Linked DNA regions of Drosophila melanogaster. The protein of the gene in region 1 purifies or fractionates together with the protein of each later gene. This does not show direct contact. Each region holds a gene or a part of one and is shown in the gene's direction. Other genes may lie near its edges.

Region 1 (5,797 bases):
GTATAATTTTAGTCTTAATTTACGCTAGTCACTTCCTCCATTAATCATTGTATATAGTTTGTCTAAATATAAAACTATTATTTGTAATTGGTTTTTTATGCTCTTTCGTTTTCCTCTAAGCATGAGTTGGGATAATTTTGAATGCTCGTTGTAATACGGCGACTGGAATAAATTAGTTATATTTTTGATTGAAAGAAATCGTAATACAAAGGAATCCAAATAAAAAGCAATAATTTTTAAAATGAGAAAATAATATTTTACCCTTGTTCGTGGACGAATGAATACCAATTGTACTGATTTTTTGAAGATATGGCGCTTGTCCGCCGAATGAAACTTATTGTTAATTATATACGTGTAGTTATACATTTGTAATGGCATTGAATCTCGTTTTAAAATGGCATAAATATTCACATGAATGTTGATTGAATTAAAAGTTCATAATATAATTGATCGATTGCAAACCAGAAACTATATTAACCACATTGTGCAATTTTGCTTAAATAGACCTAGGGATTATTATGCCGTAATTGTTAAACAAAACCATTTTTTTAAACAAAGAAGCCCATCGTGCACCCACAATCCGCACGCCCTAGGTTTCTCAAGTTAGTCGGGACCATTTCAAAATTAATCAAAGATAGCAGAAATACGAAAGAAACACTAGATTTACACAAGGGCTACTTTTAGGTTCATGTCAGCGTAGTTTTACATTAATGCAATATGTGATTTTACACATGGTCCACTAAATCAAGAGCCTAAGCAAAACCATTTTGTTAACGTGTGCAATGCGACCTGCTGTATCAAATATTGAGGTCGGATCGAGAATTTGTAGATTTTTAACTATTAATGTGAACACTAGTAGTGTAGGGCAAATCACACAACTATTCCATAACAATCTAGATGTCCATTAAATGTATTATAAATGTCCATTAAGTATTATAATCACCAACAATTGCAGCACAATGGAATTTAACGGATTTGGAACATTCAAGGAAACCCCCAAATAATACGTGCATCCTAACATGTGTGTAAGATATCCGATCTATAACAGATAGTTAAAATATATACATATAGCTGTAATTGATTTTTGTCCAGAACTCTGTGTATTATTCTCGCTCAACATGAATGAATATGAATTCGAGCCGAAAACTATATAGGAAAGTGATAAAAGCACACTCGATTTTGCACAGATTGTCATATGATGTATAAGGAAAAGCGAAAGTCAGCCATAAATGTAAGAAGCAGCAGAGTGGTGAAAAGTTATCAATTGAATGCATGTTTTAATTTTTCCGCTCCGATAATATATGTCTAATGAGTGTGTATTAAATGTGAAAAGTTAAATTTAAATGTTTTCCAAATCGTGTTTTATTTTGGGGGTTTAATTACAAGGTGCACGGTCTGCAAGCAGGGTAAGTAAAAATTAGTTTAAATGTTGAAAAATGATTTTCATCCATATCATGATTAATTGACTATGTTATATTGTACAAACGTTCACATTTTTTAAAGCTTGCCATAGTAGCTTTCGTTACTATATAGATACTCACCACACTTGATTTACCGAAACTGTTAGCTTACATAGTATGTAGGTATGTATTTGCTAACAGACAGCTTAATTGTTATCTACTTTGATGTCGTGGCATTTGTTTAATAGAAGTAAATTTCGTTTCACCATTTACATGAAGAATAAAGAAGAAAAAGCTATGATAAATTAAAAATTAATACAATTTTACATTTTACTCAATAGTAGTATTTCCAATTAGAACTCTGTTCCAGTTGGAATTCTTCGGTATATTTGGTATATTCCTGGGAGAAACAATGGGTCACACTACGAAGTAGAGGAAATAAATACAAACAAATTGGGCTGTGTAGCGGAATTTAAATTTAAACTTTATCAACGGCAGTGTTAATTAGCGAACCTCTCGGCAAAAATGAATATAAATCTGCCGAATTTCAATGTGAAGAACCTGGTGAAGGAGGCGGGCAGCACAATATCACGAGTGGTGCAGGTGAACAAATCAATGAATTTGGGTGGCTGAAAAAAAAGCGGGTGGTGGTGAACTTTCGGTGGTTGGGCAAATGACAGATGTACCCCAAACCAATCTCAAGCACTTTCGTTGTTTCTTTGCCCTTTTCAACGGCTCTCCATTGTTTTCAATGACCTTTTCAGCTCACGGAGGAGAAACTGGGCACCACGGAGCGCACCGAGTACGACTTGCACTTCCAGAATCTCGCCGAGCGGGCTGATGTGACCAAGACATGGACGGAGAAGATAGTGCGCGACACAGAGTCGGTGCTGATACCCAATCCTCAGAACCGGGTCGAAGACTTCATCTTCGAGAAGATTGAAAAGTCGAAGCCAAAAAGGTTGAGCAACCTAGAGCACCTGGCTCTGGACATGATCGAGGCTGGGGGCGATTTCGGGCAGGATTTACCCTATGGTCAGGCTCTGATCAAGGTCGGCCAAGCGGAACAGAAACTGGGCCAGTGCGAGCACGACTTTATAGCCACCTCGGGCATTTGCTTTACACAGCCGTTGCGCAAGTTCCTAGACGGCGAAATGAAGACAATTGGCAAGGAGCGAGGCATCCTGGAGACCAAGCGCCTGGATCTGGACGCCTGCAAGAACAGGGTGAAGAAAGCGCGCAGCATGCTGGGTCAGCAATCGGTAAGTGGGTGGGATTTGATGGGGTTTCCTTATTGCAAGGGGGTATGATTGATTGGGTTTCGTAATGGCTTTTTCACTCACGGTCTTTTTCTGCCCTCTGCTGCCCGGAATTTTTAGAAAGATGGCATCTCGCCAGAGGCCGTCTTGGAACAGGTATCAAAACCTTGACCGAGCTCGTGCTCTAGATTTATGGCTAATCAATGAGCCAATTTCTAATTGCGATTTTTTCTAGGCGGAACGGGACTTGCGGGTGGCTCAGGCCGAGTTCGACCGGCAGGCGGAGATTACCAAGCTGCTGCTGGACGGGATCAGCACATCGCAGGCATCTCATTTGCGCCACTTGCACGCCTTCATCCAGACGCAAGTGCGCTACTACAAGCAGTGCGGCGATGTCATGGAGCAGCTGCAGCGTGAACTGGCCAAGTAAGTAGTAGGCGATCGATAGAGAATGACTGTGACTTCCACGTAGGCACCAAACGAATCTTTTCTTGCACACCAAAACACCATGTCCCATCCTTGATGAAACCCGTGGTCCCTTCTGGTGGTCTCACTGTGCGTTATGATATCTGCTTGTGGTCTTACAGAATGCAGCATCCCAAGCCACGCCTGCGTATCAATAGCGAAGACGTTGATTGTGGGCCTCCCAGCTCGGTGTCGATGCATTCTTGTGATTCCGATTCATTAGGGGGGATAGCCCTAGATAGCGATCCAGATCCCGATTTGGACAAGTCGCTTACGAATCTGCTCGAAGACTTTCACATAGAATTCGATACGACAGCCGTCTCCACAGTTTAGGGGTCTTGTTATTGTGATCTTCATATCGAATCGGATTCCATGCCCAGTTAACATTAGCATTTAATTTCAAATCATACGTACTAGATAGGTTGCTGTTATCGGTAGTTGTTGCACTTTGTAAAGTCAGGTTTCAGCAGCTCATCTCTCCATTTAGAGCTCGCTATCAAATCGAATCAAAAACTCATTAAACTCTGCATCTTCCATCAGCTTGGGAGGCCCCACGCCATACATTCCGCTCGACGTGAACGAGGCCAGTGCCAGCAAGTCCAACATATCGTCCGGAGCCGCAGCCCGTGGTCCTGGCAACAATCACTCTGCCAATATGGCTGCCACCGGCCACAAGCCTAATCAGCCCATGCACGTCAGCACGGATCAGATGCAGAGGGCACGCGTCCTTTGCTCCTACGACGCCAAGGATCACACCGAGCTTAATTTGAGCGCCAATGAGGTAAAGTAAAGAACAAATAATATCCTAAGCAATGCTTATATATAACTCATTTTTCAGGTGATCTTCGTGACGGAGTGCTCACCAGTAAACGAGGATTACATGTACGGAAAACAGGGTCTATTGAAGGGTCTGGTGCCACGCGCATTTGTTGAAATGCTCGACGAAGAGCACGATGTCACCCTCTAAGCCCTCCAGCAATTTGTTCAGCAATAATCAATCATTCAATAATCTCAAGCAAAATTAATGAACAAGAAAATACTCCAAGTACGGCAATACTCATATGTTAAGAAAGCAGACACGATCGAGAGAAGGGAACGGCAATTGGACAATTAAAGGATGCGGCCAAAGCGGCATTTGGCACTAGCAAGAGAGTACAATAATTTATTAGAATATACATACATAAATATATACAAGGCATAATATACATACATGAGCGTGTTGGTTAGTAAAAGCATTGTAGATTAGCCTTCGGTAATAATCAAACCCAGATCCATGCCCAAAGAGCTACGCTACTCCGTTGCACAGATCACGCTGTAATCAAATATGCATTCTGGCTGCCTGAAAAACCGTCAAGTTATACATGTAAATTTATGCAATTCCAAACATTATGATTGTTAAATCTAATCGCATATCTAAAGAGAAAGTGCTGTTTTATTAAGCTTCTCTACACTCGAAAAAGTATTATATATGTGTTATGTTTGTCAATATCTTAGTTAACAAGCGAAATTCTCTGTGCTTTACTATATATCCTATAATTATAAACGTAAGTATGAAATTGTTAATCCTATTATCTATATATTCAGCGAAGGCGTTTCCAATTATTATCTAATATATTTGCTGCAATTATTATGTTACCAAATTTTTCGTGCAATTTTTGAAAGTCAATTAAAAGAATATTGCTTGTTACATTTAAGGCAAAACTTTGAAACACCAAGGCGCTTGATAGCTAAAAAATAACAGATAAATATTGTTGAAAACGTACAATACAATAATTAAAAAGTAAACAACGATGATTTTTAGGTTTTCAGCAAACAAACAATGTTGTAATATGAAAAGCGAATTTTTAAACACCAACTATTATACTACATAATTACAAATATATGATCAAAATTAAAACAACAAAACCAAATTAAGTTCGATTTATTTTGTATTTCATTAGATTGCCCGTCCAGCTTTGAAAATCAGATCGAGATGGTAAGTGCTTTAAATTATATTTGTGAGCTTTTCTACGTAAAAGGAATAGAGGTGATTTGATTTCAAGAGTTCTATTATCTGAGTTCATTTATAGATGATCAAGTATTTGTTACTCATTTGTTCAATGATAGTGCATAATCACTTTAGAGAGATTTCGTATGTGAGAGCGAGGTGAACTTTAGACTTCAGCGATTATTATTTACAAGACTTTATTGGCATTCATACTAGGTTAACAATCAAGGGCTTAAAATTCGTATAAAAGTATATTGGTCTAGTTTTGATCCAAGATTCCAGTCGTAGTCACACCGCCATTTTCCAAAGTGGTCTTGGCGATGGTGGAAATCTTCTCATTGAGAGACCTATGATGACTGGATGTGGCAGCCTGTAGATTCTTAATCACTCGATCAGATGCCTGAATAGTGAGTGCCTTGGTCATGTTGAGCTCGTGTTGTGCAGTTGGCAGATTCAGATTGACTGCACGGGATGATCGCGATTGCGTCACAACCATTGCATAAATATCAATGGCTGCATTTGCCAGTCGTGTTAGCAAAATTTGTTCGTTAACTATGTTTTTGTTGTATCGCAGCAATAGTTCTTCCACCGATTGTCCAAAAAGATCAATACAATGGGCCGTTTTTTTGGCATAAGGCAAGAGTTCACCCACTACGTGGCCACTCAGATCGGTGCCGCCCAAGCCG
Region 2 (6,855 bases), on another chromosome or scaffold:
GCCTACAGTGGTCTTCTGATGGGCTCCATGTTGGTTTACCCGGTGGCCAGTTATCTGAGCAACTTCGGCTGGGAACTGTCCTTCTATGTAGTCGGTGGAGTTGGCCTCTCATTCGGCATTGCCTGCTGCTTTCTCGTTTACGACACCGTGGAGCAACATCCAAGGATATCGAATGAGGAGGTGGATTACCTGAGGCAGGGCAAGAGTCAATTGGGACAGCAGCGGCAGCCAGTGAGTAGTTCCTTGTACTTTTAACTTTAAAATTATAAATTAATTAGCTTCTTTTTAGGTGGTAACCATTCCCTGGAAGAGCCTGCTCGCCGCGCCGCCCGTCTACGCCTTCATCCTGACCCACATGTTCCACACCTACACCTTCCTGGTGATTGTGCAACTGATGCCGCGATTTATGCGCGAGGCCATGGAGTTCGATCTCCGCGAGGTGGGCTTCCTCTCGGCGGCGCCGTATCTGGGCGGGATCTGCTCGAAGGTGATGTGCATCCTGGGTGGCAGCTATGTGGAACGACGCGTGGGTCCTGACCAGAATTGTGTGCGAAGAATGCTGTACGGGATCTGTAAGGCATACCGATAATCGGAGTGCCACAGACATCTATAAAGAACACCTTCCCTTAGTGGATTCCTATATAGATTTCCGTAGCATCTCCAGAAACATCACCAATCTCTCTTTTATATCCCATTTTATAATACCAGGCAGCATCCTGACCACTTCTTTGATTGGGGTCATCATCCTGGCTAATTGTGATGACAAAATACTAGTACTTGTGATGTTTGCCTTCATGATGGCCACTACGGATATGGGTTTCAGTGGCTACTGGCCCACGCTGCTCTACTTTGCGCCCTCCTTCGCGGGATTGCTATCGGGATTGGCCAATGGAATGGCCCATCTTTCCGGATTCTTAGCTCCCCATCTTGTGGCCGCTCTGGTCCACACTGTAAGTTTAAATACAAGTAGTTTATGATTAAACTGATTTATTTATGTACCTCGCAGGGCAGCAAGGATGAGTGGAATGTGGTGTTGATGACGCTGATTGTCTTTAATACGATGGCCATGTTGGTATTTGCATTTTGCAGCAGTACGAACCTACAACCTTGGGATCCTCGTAGCAGAATGGAGAAAACTGCATCACCAAGTGCTCAGGAATCAAATAGTTAGCACTTATTTGTTTAAATGTTTTAACTTTTTTGTACTTTCGAAGCATTTTATTTGTTTACTATAAATGTAGAGTTAATTGTGTTAAAATAAAAACAAAATAAATGTAAATATACAATATACATATCAATTTAGTTTAAAATGATAATTGAACTTTCTTCAACGCAATCTTCAAATAAAATTTTTAAAAACCGCGCCTAGCACATAGTATCTTTCAATCTTATCGATAGTTTTACCGTTGTATAAAGCAAGCTGACAAATGTTTCACAACGACCAGTTTTCTACATTTCAAGTACAAAATTACACAAATATTCAATAATTCAAAAATATGTGTGAAAGCAGACATCTATTGGCAGTCAATGTACTAAATGCTCATATTCTTTACACGCCAATCGATAGCTGTTTGATTTGACGCATAGATTTGGTTTGAGTCCCGGCTGAGAACTGTAAGACGAAGAAATAGCTCATTTACCTACTTTAATGGTGCTAAATCGCATATATCACAATGCTTTAGGAAAAGTATTAATATTTCTAGAAAGCGTATGCTATAACTCTTTGTGCTATACTATATATAGGTGGAAAGACATCGATAGTCGCAGGGGAGTATCGATGCATCGATAGTGCCATCGATGTTTCTCCACCTTGCTTTATTAATCATTTCAATTTTTTTTCAATTCGGTTGCTTGACGTTCACTGACGTGATTCCGCACACAGCACATAGTCGAATACGTTTCGCAATAGAAATATCAAAATTCTCCGTGTGGACTCAATCTGGATTGGATGCAACACTAAATTACCAGTGTTTTCCTCGATTTTCTAGCGACGCAAAATTCTCAGTACAACCCAAAAAAAAAACGGAGAGTCTCTTCAACAACAAAATCAAGCATCATCGATAAAAACAACAAGTCTCCCGGAGGAAGTGGCTCCAAAATATCCAGTGCAACAGCGGACGAACTTCTCGGCAGGATTGAGAGTGAGTAGATCGGATTAAACAAATTAAATAATCCCAAACATTGTACATATGTATATACATTTATTTGTGCGCGGGGAAAGGCGGAAGTCAGAGAACTTGGCTTCCTGGTTTTTCATTTACCTTTTGGCGCTTCCGCCAAAACACTTAAACGTTCACTTAAAACCGCTTCTGGACAAATCAATAAAGGCCAAGTGTCGGATCGGACATTACCTTGGTGTTCCCTACTTACACTTGAAAAAATTTCGTTTAACATGGTAATAAAATTAATCAAGGCTATTTATTGCACATCACAAAGAAAGTTTATGACTTTATCAGTTAATTAACTACAATACAAGGGTATAAAAGTCAATTGCTTTTCAAAATGTCTCAATATAATAAAATTTAAAATCATTTCATATGCCTAACATATACATATACATATATCATCTTTCAAACCTACTAGTAGAAATTCGAATTTATAATTACCAAGTAAAGTGATTTATTGCCTTGAGTGTACTTCAAATAAAACATTAAATGCTAGAAGTCTACTTTTTTTCTTCCTGTGTACGTGTGCGTGGGCCAAGCTAGACTCCAAGTACACGAACCCCAAGAATATTAATGTTTAAACTTTAAACACTTGTTACCTTGAATGAAACAGTGCGCTGTATGTATTATCATTGCCGCTGCTGTTGTTGCTCTTTTTTTTGGGTTGAGGGAGGTTCATTCAATCGGGCACACCAACACCACTGCACTTGAGAGCCCATTTGTGTGTGTGTTTGTTGTTGCCTCCTTTGTGTTTTCTGCATATTCACTTTACATACTAAATGTATGCACGAATTTCGTCAAGTCCGCCGTGCAAATACATTTTAATTTTCGCAATTTCATTTAAAATATGGACGCTTAACTTAACATCTACTTGCAATTCGATGTGCTTCACTCGTGTGCGTGTGTGTGGCAGCACGTACACCAGTAAAGGGCCAGAGTTGCCATCCTAACTTCTTTTTTCCAAGCACTTTGTCTTGCTGATAAAAGCAGCTGATTTTTATAAATAAATAAGTAAAAGTTGGAAGACGCAAAAAATTCAATTTATTGATAGTGCGATTTGACCTACCAAAGGCAATAAAAATCTAGAATGGAGAGTAATCATTATCTTGTGTGGAATAAACATTCACGCAAAACTTGCCTATGTATGGAGAACTGTAAACAAATATTCGCACAGCCGCGGGTAACGAACTAGGCCCTCAATAAAAATAAATAACAAAATATATTATTTTCGATACAAACAATTCATAAAAAATGTCAAACATTTGCTCTTAAACTGACGTGCAATTATTAGTGCGCAAATATTGTAAGCAGAGTAAAAAAGAATGAAATTACGTGATTAAAATATTAATGTCCTAAAACTGTATTATAAAAATATGTACACAATCGAACGTTACAGGCACGTTCAACATGATAGCTAAGCCCACAAACTCCTCCGATGACAATCATCGCCTTTGGCTTATTGCGTTTTGCATAAATACCGCTCTTGACTTTCGTGTTATTTCACACGTTTGCTTGTTTGTTTTTAGCTGATAGCGGCATTTATATACGCCATAAAATGTTTAGCGGGGCTAGAAGTGATACGAGTTGTGAGCCTATACATTTCTAATCGGATGTAGTACTGAATTATAGACTACATTATATGTATATAGCATACAAGTATGTCCACTTATTTGGGGCTCTTTTCGCTTTTGCACCAAAAGCTGAGTCACTTTGTTTTCAAATTTTTGTGTGCCGCGGCCACAACGCAAAAAATAGACATCACTAAACAAAAAAACGTTGCGCAAAAAGAAAAGAGAAAATGTTCACTTATTTATATAAACAAATAGGTATTAGTGTTAGCCACTACACCTGTATAGGTGCGATTTTTGTTTTGTTTATCTCGTGGTAATGACGGAAAACCGGTTTCGTAGAACGAAAACACAACTGCTCCGGCTTCTTGCCGGTTAAATACGATTTGTTTAAATACAGAAGAGCCTGCCTAAGTCAAACGAAGCTAAAAAAAAATTCATTCAATTCATTCAGTAGCACAGCAGAAGAATTTGTATTTTCAATATTCGTTGGAGTAGGCTACAAGAAATATGTATGTTTGAGAACCTCAGAAAAACTCTGAAACTCCTGAGATTAAGTTGTAATTAAGCAATTTATAAATCAATCGAATGCCTTATATATAGACATATTTCCGTGGCACCTCAGATTCAAATGTTTAAATTGTATTTATTAATATAATATATTTCTCATAGTTTGAGCTTAATCGTTGAAATATTAAGAAATATGAGACCAACTGTTGATAAGTTCGCTTTTAGTAATCCAAAATCCCTTACAGCCAATATGTTGTTAAAAGTGCCATCTGTGGACTGGACGGATCAAATAATTTACGTAGTGGACGACGACGAGTCGCTGTCAGACATCGACGATGAGCCAGATTTTTCCGAATACATGTGGATGGAGAACGAGGAGGAGTTCGACAAGAACGTAAGATTAAATCTCCTATTTATGATTAACGAATTAACTAATACATTTGCTATCTGATAATAGGAACTGCAACGGCTGGAGGAGGAAGAGATTATGCAGGAGTGTTTTGAAGCCATGATAGAAGACGAGCTGGAGGAGCAGATCAACGAATGGGAGAAGGCCAAGTGAGTAGTGGCTATCCGGTTAACATTGCTGAATTAAAGCTAATTTGCAATCGCTTATTTCAGGACGGACGAGCAGAACACGGCACTTTCCGCACTACCCAAGAGCCAGTGTGATGTTGAAAAGTCTGTTCTGAATCCGATGGCTGATGAGTTTGTTCCGCGTTGTCATGTTATAGATTTCCCTGCCTCATAAAGCCAGCCCATATCTCCTGCCCGCCACAGAATCACAAACTACCCCGAACCCGTACCACGTGGACCTCATACGCGAAAAACCTTAGATAAACTGAAGACCCATTGCTAAGACTAGACTAACAGATTCCGCTAATGAGATTGATATTGATATTCTGACCAAGTTGAGCCAGATGGAGCATTGGGAGCAGTGGCTCATGAATATCTTATTTCTAGATACCAAAATGCTGGAAAAGAAAACTAAATATACCAACAAACTCCAAATGCTGGCGACCGAAATGCAAACGAATCATATTAAAAAAAAAACCTTATAAAAAACAACTGAACCACTGCAAAAATACAAAAAATATGTTTAAAAGAAAAACCAACAAAGAAACAAAAACACAACTTAAACTAAGAACAGACAAATAACAAAATAACAACTATGCCACGTACATTAGAGTACATTGAAATTAGAGTTAAAACCGAATTGTTTGCCGTGAAATTCGGAGCCCCAGAAATTCCGAACCTAAAATGTTATCGAGAAACGCAGACGCAGGCGCTTGCTGAAGCTAGTGAAAACTTTGGTATTAACGTACAAAACGAAAACAAATGACTTTTTACAAGCAACTAAATCTAAACTACAACTAAACTATGCCAATTTCCAGCTAAAGCAACTGTAAGCAACAAACAAGACTCGATTGTGTTAGAAACAAACCAAGAATTTGTAGCCGTCATGTCGTTAAATTGAAATTCTATTCAAAGACTTTAATCGTAGTTTAAATTGTAATTAATTTAACGTCCCGCCCACTGTCTACACTCGATTTAAGTTGATCATCTTTTTTTAATCTTTCACCATTGTTAACTCGTTGTACGTTCTATGCCCAAGTAACAAGAAGCGCTTGTTAACCTTCCCTACTGACTCGCAATATTTGTAATTTACCAATATAATCTAGTGAACTAAACGAATCGATATACTAATGTTTAACGCCTCTTTATACAAACATCATGCATAAATATGTATATCTAGTGTTAATGGAGGAGACAACAGACAACAACAACGCTGCAATAACAAGTAGTTTGTAATTTTAAGTATAAAATTCGTTTGATGCAAATGCACAAAGCCCTCATCGATTTGTTAATATCGTTAAAATTCGTTTCGGCATGTAGACAAAGATGAATTTCTATTTTTTCAATCAACTTAGATTTAGTGACTTAAGACAGCATTATAAGATCTACTACATTACTTACGTTACGTGTGATATAAAGATACAAAAAAACAAAGCAAAAAAAATATCAAAAATGATTTTAAAAATCTCAATAAAAAGAAGTATTATTATGGCATAAAAACTTGGTAGTTTTATTTTTTTTATATTTTTTTTCTTGCATAGATACTATGGAAAGTGAATCAGAAAGATAATCGAATTTACTGATCTTCATTTATTTTATTAGCATCTGAATTATTATATCATATTGGAAGAGCATGAAAATAATAAGATCTCTAAACATTAAAAATATTCTTTATCAAAATTTCATTGCACGCTTAATCATAACTTTTTACATACTTTTCATACGAATCTATTACTTTACACGAATAAATAAAGAATATATAGTATACGTAAGTTGTTGCGGAAAGGTTTTTGTAATTAAGCAATATAAAAGAAAAACATCCTAAAATCGGATAAATAATAAACAATGATTTGTAGTAATTGAAATTTGATAAAGTTTTTATTGCTTATAAAATGTTTTCAATTTCAAGAATACCGCTAATGCACTGCACTTTCGATAAGTTTTGTGTGGAACAATACCGATACCCATATCCAAATACCGATACCAAAAATGGCGTCGTGATTTCCCAGTTGATTTTCCCAGAAAATGCAGCATAT

Evidence for each region.
Region 2: the proteins of EndoB (region 1) and Paip2 purify together in Drosophila melanogaster (affinity purification with mass spectrometry, with the first as the bait; one large-scale study listed by BioGRID). This does not show direct contact.

The regions. Positions count from the first base shown.
Region 1 is NT_033778.4:19,306,681-19,312,477, reverse strand, and holds EndoB (endophilin B), read left to right. Parts: upstream 1-1,812; 5' UTR 1,813-1,925; coding exon 1,926-2,003; intron 2,004-2,164; coding exon 2,165-2,662; intron 2,663-2,779; coding exon 2,780-2,815; intron 2,816-2,894; coding exon 2,895-3,085; intron 3,086-3,246; coding exon of another isoform or gene 3,247-3,451; intron 3,452-3,664; coding exon 3,665-3,905; intron 3,906-3,962; coding exon 3,963-4,091; 3' UTR 4,092-5,031; downstream 5,032-5,797. Other genes in the region: Acadvl (Acyl-CoA dehydrogenase very long chain), read right to left, coding at 5,371-5,797.
Region 2 is NT_033777.3:12,979,247-12,986,101, forward strand, and holds Paip2 (polyA-binding protein interacting protein 2), read left to right. Parts: upstream 1-1,799; 5' UTR 1,800-2,141; intron 2,142-4,488; 5' UTR 4,489-4,493; coding exon 4,494-4,637; intron 4,638-4,700; coding exon 4,701-4,801; intron 4,802-4,864; coding exon 4,865-4,994; 3' UTR 4,995-6,242; downstream 6,243-6,855. Other genes in the region: CG7091 (uncharacterized protein), read left to right, coding at 1-231, 290-572, 709-950, 1,007-1,171.